Callithrix jacchus: one gene and its partner. The protein of the gene in region 2 interacts with the protein of the main gene of each other region in a pairwise test. Links are inferred from orthologs where the notes say so. Each region holds a gene or a part of one and is shown on either strand. Other genes may lie near its edges. The genes, in order: RIOK3 and CASP10.

The links.
Region 1: the proteins of CASP10 (region 2) and RIOK3 interact in binary tests that used the Homo sapiens proteins (3 or more experiments, as listed by UniProt). The link is inferred for Callithrix jacchus from reciprocal best matches to the Homo sapiens genes CASP10 and RIOK3.

What each region holds. Positions count from the first base shown.
Region 1 is NC_133514.1:66,569,660-66,573,477, forward strand, and holds part of RIOK3 (serine/threonine-protein kinase RIO3), read left to right. Parts: intron 1-1,025; coding exon 1,026-1,223; intron 1,224-2,520; coding exon 2,521-2,680; intron 2,681-3,818.
Region 2 is NC_133507.1:122,267,028-122,271,348, reverse strand, and holds the start of CASP10 (caspase-10), read right to left. Parts: upstream 2,840-4,321; 5' UTR 2,662-2,839; intron 1-2,661. UniProt on the Homo sapiens protein: Involved in the activation cascade of caspases responsible for apoptosis execution. Recruited to both Fas- and TNFR-1 receptors in a FADD dependent manner. May participate in the granzyme B apoptotic pathways.

The DNA of each region.
Region 1 (3,818 bases), on a different chromosome or scaffold from region 2:
GGTGGGTAGTTTGATTCAGAGTCTGTCCTTTGGAAATACAGTTCCTTTCTTTCCCAGATTAAGATCCTATCAGATATCTAAAGGTAAATATTAATATTGTTTCTCATTCCATCCACCTTTTCATTCCCACTGCCACCATCAAGACTGAAGCTCACTACTGGGGGACTATTGCCAATAGCATCCTGAGTCGACCCCACACCTGTGGCCTCTCCCTGAGCCTTTCCATGCTGACAGTATAATTATTTTGATCTTCATGAAGTGCGCATTTGAGAGAGCCACACTCAGAAGCCCTCACAATTCCCCACCACCTCCAGCAGTTTGTCTAGGCTCTTCACAGATGCACCTCTGTCCCATCCTTTAGCTCCACTTTTTTCATTCTTTCTCCAGCCAAGCCTTAACTATAGTGTTTGTTGTTCATCAGACATGTCCTGTGGTTTCCTGCCTCTGCTTTTGTTCATGCTGTTCAAATCCTACCCATTGTCCTGTTTGTTTCAGATGGCACTTGTGCCATGAAGCCTTGCAGCCTTGCCTGACCTTTCCAGTGAAAAGGGAACTTTCCTATTCATGTACTTCTTTCATTCTCTGCTGCCACTTCTTGTAGACTCATGGGGCAGGAACCCTTTTACTCACATTTATGTCTGCTGGGAGTGAAAGAGTTATTTTTTTAAAAGCTGTTTTATTTATGTTTTTATTGAATTTTGCTCCTGAACATATCAGAGAGACTAGCGTATTTTCAAGTGTGTATGTCTTCATTGTATCTCAAGCTTGATTCCATAGTCATTAAGTAAAGAACATTATGTTACGGATGGTTGAAAATTGGTTGACAATTTATTTGTAAGTATGTTTTATTTAAAAAATCAAACCAAAACCTAAGGCTTTATTAAGATCCAAAACCTAACTTTAAAAAACCAGACTTGACACTGAGAGAAGGTAGATCTAATTTAGTGTTACAGAATCTTTATTTTGAAATTGTTGTTCTTGTGAGCTGGCAACTTATACTGACTTATTTTTTTTATTCCACTTAGCATGGAGGATGAAAAGGAAGATAGTAAAGTTATACCTACAGAATGTGCCATCAAGGTATTTAAAACAACCCTTAATGAGTTTAAGAATCGTGACAAATATATTAAAGATGATTTCAGGTTTAAAGATCGCTTCAGTAAACTAAATCCACGTAAGATCATCCGCATGTGGGCAGAAAAAGAAATGCACAATCTCACAAGGTAAAGAAAATACTGTGGTAGACATCATCTTGGGTAAATACCTTTTTGCATTAGGATAAAAAAATCCATGCTTGCTTCTAAATTCATTTATGGAAATAAAGGCCAGGTGTATAACCTGAATTCATCCTTTTAGGATGAAAAAGCCATTTTCTTTTTTCTTTCCTCAGTAAAACTTGAGGGAAATTGGGGTATTTTCTGCCTTAGACATTTTATCACGTATCTAAATGCCATTTTTAAATTGCTTTTATTAAGAAGTAAAACTTCCAGCATCCAATTAGGCTTTGTATTAAAAAAAGGCTTCTTTTTTGTTTTAGAAAATGTTTATTACATTTAGTTTAATTTTGTGGGAGTAAGTTCTTACCAATCAAATTACATTTTGTTTTAGTTTTTATACTTGTATCTGAATTTTCTAAGTAATTTATTTTCTGTCAGATAATTTATCAACCAAGAAATTCAGTAATAATCCTTCTCATTAAAAACTTTTCCATTATTTTAATCTTTTGAAAGCTTAATTTTAGTTTGTTCTTTTCTAAAGATATTTGCTTTCAAAAGTAATTACTTATATATATTAGTTACAAAATTCCTCTACTGAGAGTTCCTTACTAAAAAAGCCAGGCATGATATGCACATGTACTCCCAGCTACTTGGGAGGGTGAGATGGGAGGATTGCTTGAACCTAGGAGTTCAAAACCAGCCCAAGAAACATAATGAGACATTGTCTCAAAAAATAAAAATAAATAAATTCCAGGTAGAATCATTGTCTAGAAGGTCTTGCTGTTCTCCAATCTCTTTTCTATACTGCTGAGATTCCTGCCTTTCTTAAAATTCTTTAACAGTTTTCTGTAGTGGAGCTTGCCTATCTTTGTAGCCTCAGCCCACGTTGCCCTGCCTGCTACTCACAGACCCAGCTATGTTAATTGATATACATTCCCCAAATGGACTGTGCTCTTGAACACCTCCCTGCATTTCCTGGCACTGTCTTCATCTGGCTAATTCCTGTTCCCCATCTCTTCTTCGAATAAGCCATCCTTGGTGCGGTGCTCCTGTAGCTCCTACCCATACCTCTGCCAGTGCATATGTCACGCTGCATTGTATTTGTCTCTTTACTTGTCTGTCATTTCCATCAGTCCATGAGCTCCCTACAGGCAGAGGCTGTGTTTTATTGTCTTTGTATTCCCACACCACCAGGGTAGAACATAGTGCCAGCTCATTGCAGGCCCTGATTAGATATTTATTGAATAAATGACATATTTTCTCCTTCTGATCTGTATATTCTTAATCATTTCTTTCTGTATAGAATGCAGAGAGCTGGAATTCCTTGTCCAACAGTTGTACTACTCAAGAAACACATTTTAGTTATGTCTTTTATTGGCCATGATCAAGTTCCAGCTCCTAAATTAAAAGAAGTAAAGCTCAATAGTGAAGAAATGAAAGAAGCCTACTATCAAACTCTTCACGTAAGTTGTCCTTCTAAAAGCATTTACGCACTGCCTTTAAAAAATATTTCCTCTAAACTTTAAAAAAATGTCCTTAAAGAAGCCAGGCATGGTGGCTTGCGCCTGTAATCTAGAACTTTGGGAGGCCTAGGCGGGAGGATCACTCGAGCCCAGGAGTTTGAGATCAGTCTGGGCAACATGGCGAAACCCCTTCTCTACTAAAAATGCAGAAATAATAGCTGGTCGTGGTGGCATGCACTTGGGATTCCAGCTACTCATGAGGCTGAGGCAGGGGAATTGCTTGAACCAGGGAGGTGGAGGTTGCAGCAGTGAGCCGAGATCGTGCCACTGCACTCCAGCTTGGGCGACAAAGCGAGACTCTGTTTTAAAAAATTAAAAATTGGCTGTGCATGGTGGCACACACCTGTAGTCCCAGCTACTCAGGAGTCTAAGGTGGGAGGATCACTTGCACCCAGGAATTTAAGGCAGCAGTGAGCTATGATTGTGCCACTGCACTCCAGCTTGGGCGAGATATAGAGCAAGACCCTATCTCTTTAAAAAAACAAACCAAGTTCCTAAAATAGTGCTATTTCAAGGTGCTGTAACAAAAACAAGAAGTTCGTGAAGGAATGTTAACACTGAAGAGTTGTTTTTATATCAATATGTGTGTGTCTTAAATAATTTTAGAAAACTCACAGACTTAACCAGGGAAGTCTTTATTGCTAGGATTAGTGACATAGTACATGAAGCTATATTTCACAAAACTTCATTAAATAAAATTTGCTGTTACTACATTTAGCAGATAAAGTACCTCATTAGTTTGTGTGCTGTCTTGAATGTTATGGTTTTTTGTATTTGTTTTTGTTTTCAAATAAGAGGCAGGGTCTCACAATGTTGCCAAGATTGGTCTCGAACTCCTGGGCTCAAGCCTCCCAGAGTGCTAGGATTACTGGTGTGAGCCACTGCACTCGGCCATTGAATGTTAATAGCTTTAACAGAGAAGGAAAGGAAACAGGTTTGGTCTCATCATAAGAATGTGATGATGGAAACTGAAAATAGTAGGGAGTGCAGATGTTAAGTTGGAAGGCATGTGTCGGGAATCTCGAGGAAACTACATGCTTTGAAATAGCAACTGAATTCAATCTGAGGACCTTCTAGG
Region 2 (4,321 bases):
AAAAAAACAAACAAGCCCATTCAAAAGTGGGCAAAGGATATGAACAGACACTTTACGAAAGAAGACATATATGAGGCCAACAATCATATGAAAAAATGCTCATCGTCACTGGTCATCAGAGAGATGCAAATCAAAACCACATTGAGATACCATCTCACGCCAGTTAGAATGGCGATCATTAAAAAATCTGGAGACAACAGATGCTGGAGAGGATGTGGAGAAAAAGGAACACTTTTACACTGTTGGTGGGAGTGTAAATTAGTTCAACCATTGTGGAAGACAGTGTGGCGATTCCTCAAGGCCTTAGAAATAGAAATTCCATTTGATCCAGTAATCCCATTACTGGGTATATATCCAAAAGGCTATAAATTGTTCTACTATAAGGACACATGTACACGAATGTTCATTGCAGCACTGTTTACAATAGCAAAGACCTGGAATCAACCAAAATGCCCATTGATAATAGACTGGATTGGAAAAATGTGGCACATACACACCATGGAATATTATGCAGCAATCAGAAATGATGAGTTCGTGTCGTTTGTAGGGACATGGATGAATCTGGAGAACGTCATCCTCAGCAAACTGACACAAGAACAGAAAATGAAACACCGCATATTCTCACTCATAGGCGGGTGATGAAAAATGAGAACACATGGACACAGAAAGGGGAGTACTAAACACTGGGGTCTATTGGGGGGAAAAGGGGAGGGCCAGTGGGAGGGGGAGGTGGGGACGGATAGCCTGGGGAGAAATGCCAAATGTGGGTGAAGGGGAGAAGGAAAGAAAAGCACACTGCCATGTGTATTCCTATGCAACTTTCTTGCATGCTCTGCTCATGTACCCCAAAACCTAAAATCCAATAAAAAATAAAAAATAAAAAAAAAAATTTCATGGGTCGGCTGCTCTGTCTATGGAGTAGCCATTCTTTTGTTTACTTATCTAATACATTTGTTTTTACTAAAAAAAAAAAAAAAAAAAAAAATTACGTAAATAAATGTTTCCATCTGACAAGTTTATAAACTACAGTATCCTCTATACTAAACTTCATTATAATCAGAGGAGCAATGCAGTGATAACATTTTCATTGTAATATTATTTATTCTATAAGCACTTGAGGTATATAGTCATTATGCAGAACTTCGCTATTTTTAGAAACAGGAAACTACTTTCTAAAGGAAGGAACAGGCAGTGTGCAGTGGCTCACACCTATAACCCCAGCCAGGAGTTCGGGATCAGACTGGGCAACATGGTAAAACCCTGTCTCTACAATAAATACAAAAATTAGCCAGGCATGGTGGTGCACACCTGTGGTCCCAACTACTCAGGAGGCTGAGGCAGAAGGATCATTTGAGCCCTGGGGGTGGAGGGTCCAGTGAGCCATGATCATGCCACTGCACTCCACCCTGGGTGACAAAGGGAGACCCTGTCTCAAAAAACAAACAAACAAACAAACAAACAAAAAAACTGCTAGACCTCAGAAGGAAAGAATGGTTTTAGACAAGAGTTGCTCAAATCAATGTAGGAAGTTGAAAATTACATGAGTCAATGTTTCCATCTGACTAGTTTATAAACTACTGTATTCTCTGTACTAAATTTCATTATAATCAGAGGAGCACTTCATGAGGCCAAGGCAGGTGGATCACTTGAGGCCAGGAGTTTAGGACAAGCCTGGGAAACATGGTGAAACCCTGTCTCTTAAAAAATACAAAAATTAGCCAGGTGTGGTGGTGCCTGTGGTCCCAGCTATTTAGGAAGCTGAGGTGAGAGGATTGCTTGAATCTGGGAGACGGAAGTTGCAGTGAGCCAAGATTGTGCCACTGTACTCCAGCCTGGTGAAAGAACGAGACTCCGTCTCAATTAAATAAATAAATGAAGGAAAGAAGGAAGAAACACATAGCAAAAATCAAAACCTCCATAATAAGGAGTAGTTATATCGAGATGGCATAACTAGAGATAATACAAATTTTCTCCTGGGCTTTCAACTGAATTTCTCAAATTTTATTTATACATGAACATACACATTAATTTCAGTGTTAAAAGAAACAAAAAATGGTGGCTCACGCCTGTAATCCCAGCACTTTGGGAGGCCGAGGTGGGCAGATCACCTGAGGTCAGGAGTTCAAGACCAGCCTGATCAACATAGTGAAACCTCGTCGCTACTAAAAATACAAAAATTAGCGGTGCATGGCAGTGCATGCCTGTAATCCCAGCTACTTGGGAGGCTGAGGCAGGAGAATCACTTGAACCCGGGAGGTAGAGCAAAACTCTGTCTCAAAAAAAAGAAACAAAAAATGTCATTTTAAATGTGATGATCCAGGGGATCTTCCCTGCTGCTAGCCCTGAGGTCAAATGAGTGGTTTCCTGGACCTGTTTCTATTCTACCACATCTTACATTTGCCTTGTGGTTTCTTGACAATTCCAATTTCTAGTTTTAATGAGTCTGCCACACTTTGTCTCCGGGAACTAACATATTTCTGCCGGTAAAAGGCTATGTTGGAGGCTTCTGGATTTTTGAACTTTTGTTTTCCCAGGCATGGCAAAGAAATCTAAGCAGAAATAATACCATTGCTGACAAGTTTTTGCAAGTTTCTACAACATGAAGCCATGAAGCAAAGGAAAAGATCCAAGCATGAGACTCTGTGGTATTTAATTACATACCTTCAGATCAGGCTCCACCAATCCTCTGGAGGTAAACGATTCTCAGGGAAATTGCCTGAAAACAAAATTTTAAAGAAAGTAGAATCCTCTATGTGCTCCAAGGTCCAAGGAAGCTCCCAATTTCGCGGGAAGAGACTTCAAGACTTGCTGGCTGTTGAAGTGAAAACTGGATCCTACTGGGCTGGGTAGCCTGATACTGATTTCCTGCCAATGTCGTCACTGCTTATTTGGCTTTTTCCCTCCCCTTTTCCAGGCTTAAGATAACTGACAAACAGCGTCTCCTAAAGGCTAATTTACAACTTTCTCACTGTAGAGCTTGGGGTTTCCCCATGTAAAGCGAAATCTTCCTAGAAATGAACCCACGGAAGCCATGAAGTCCTCCAGGCTTTCCTTAGGATCTCCATTTTCTTGTTAAGTCAAAAAGGGAATCTATCTATAGTTGGTGGGAAAAGAATAAAAACAAAACAAAAAAAAAAGAAAAGAAAAAAATGGGAAGCATCTATTTTTCTAATCATCTCCTTCCCCAAACACTTAACTTTTCAAATAAAGTCAAGTTAACCCTTTCCTTAGTCCACATGCAAATAAACAAATAATTTTTTTTTTTTTTTGAGACTGAGTCTTGCTCTGTCACCCGGGCTGGAGTGCAATCGTGCAATCTACACTCACTGCAACCTCTGCCTCCTGGGTTCAAGCAATTCTCCTGCCTTACCCTCCCAGGTAGCTGGGATTACAGGCACACGCCACTATGCCAGGCTAATTTTTTTGTATTTTAGTAGAGATAGGGTTTCACCATGCTGGCCAGGCTGATCTCGAACTCCTGACCTCGTGATCCACCCACTACAGCCTCCCAAAGTGCTGGGATTACAGCCATGAGCCACCACACTCAGCCAATAAATAAAATTTTTAAATGATAAAAGAAAAGTGGGGATTCACTTTCAGTCTTTGTGGGAGAAATTAAGAAATAAAAAGAAAAGGGGAAAAAAAAGAAAAGTGGGGATGGTGAATTACAAGCCCATTTGGAGGTATCTGCAAGAGACTCAACCAATTAATGGTAGACAAAACTGACAGTGCATGTTCTCACAGCACATTCAAACCAGAAAAAAAGAGACTTTGAAGACATTATTTCTAATAAAACAATACTGAACACTTGCTTTTTTTTCTTTTTTTCTTTTTTTGAGATGGAGTCTTGCTCTATCACCAGACTGGGGTGTGATCTCAACTCACTGCAACCTCTGCCTCTGGGTTCAAGTGATTCTCCTGCCTCAGCCTCCTGAGCAGCTGAGACTACAGGTGCGTGCCATCACACCCAGCTAATTTTTGTATTTTTTAGTAGAGTCAGGGTTTCACCATGTTGGCCAGGATGGTCTCAATCTCTTGACCTTGTGATCTACCTGCCTCGGCCTCCCAAAGTGCTGGGATTACAGGTGTCAGCCATCGTGCCTGGCCTAATACTGCACACTTCTATTGTAACTACCATGTGCCATAGGGTATTTACAAATTTTTACTCATTTCACCATCCCAACAACACCCCAAGATAAAATACTATTACTATGACTCCTGCTCTAACATGTGAAAACTACAACACAGAAAGGTTAAGTAATTTTCCCAAGGTCACACAGTGAGCTACTGGGAGGGCCAAGATTTAAACCAGCAAGTTTGG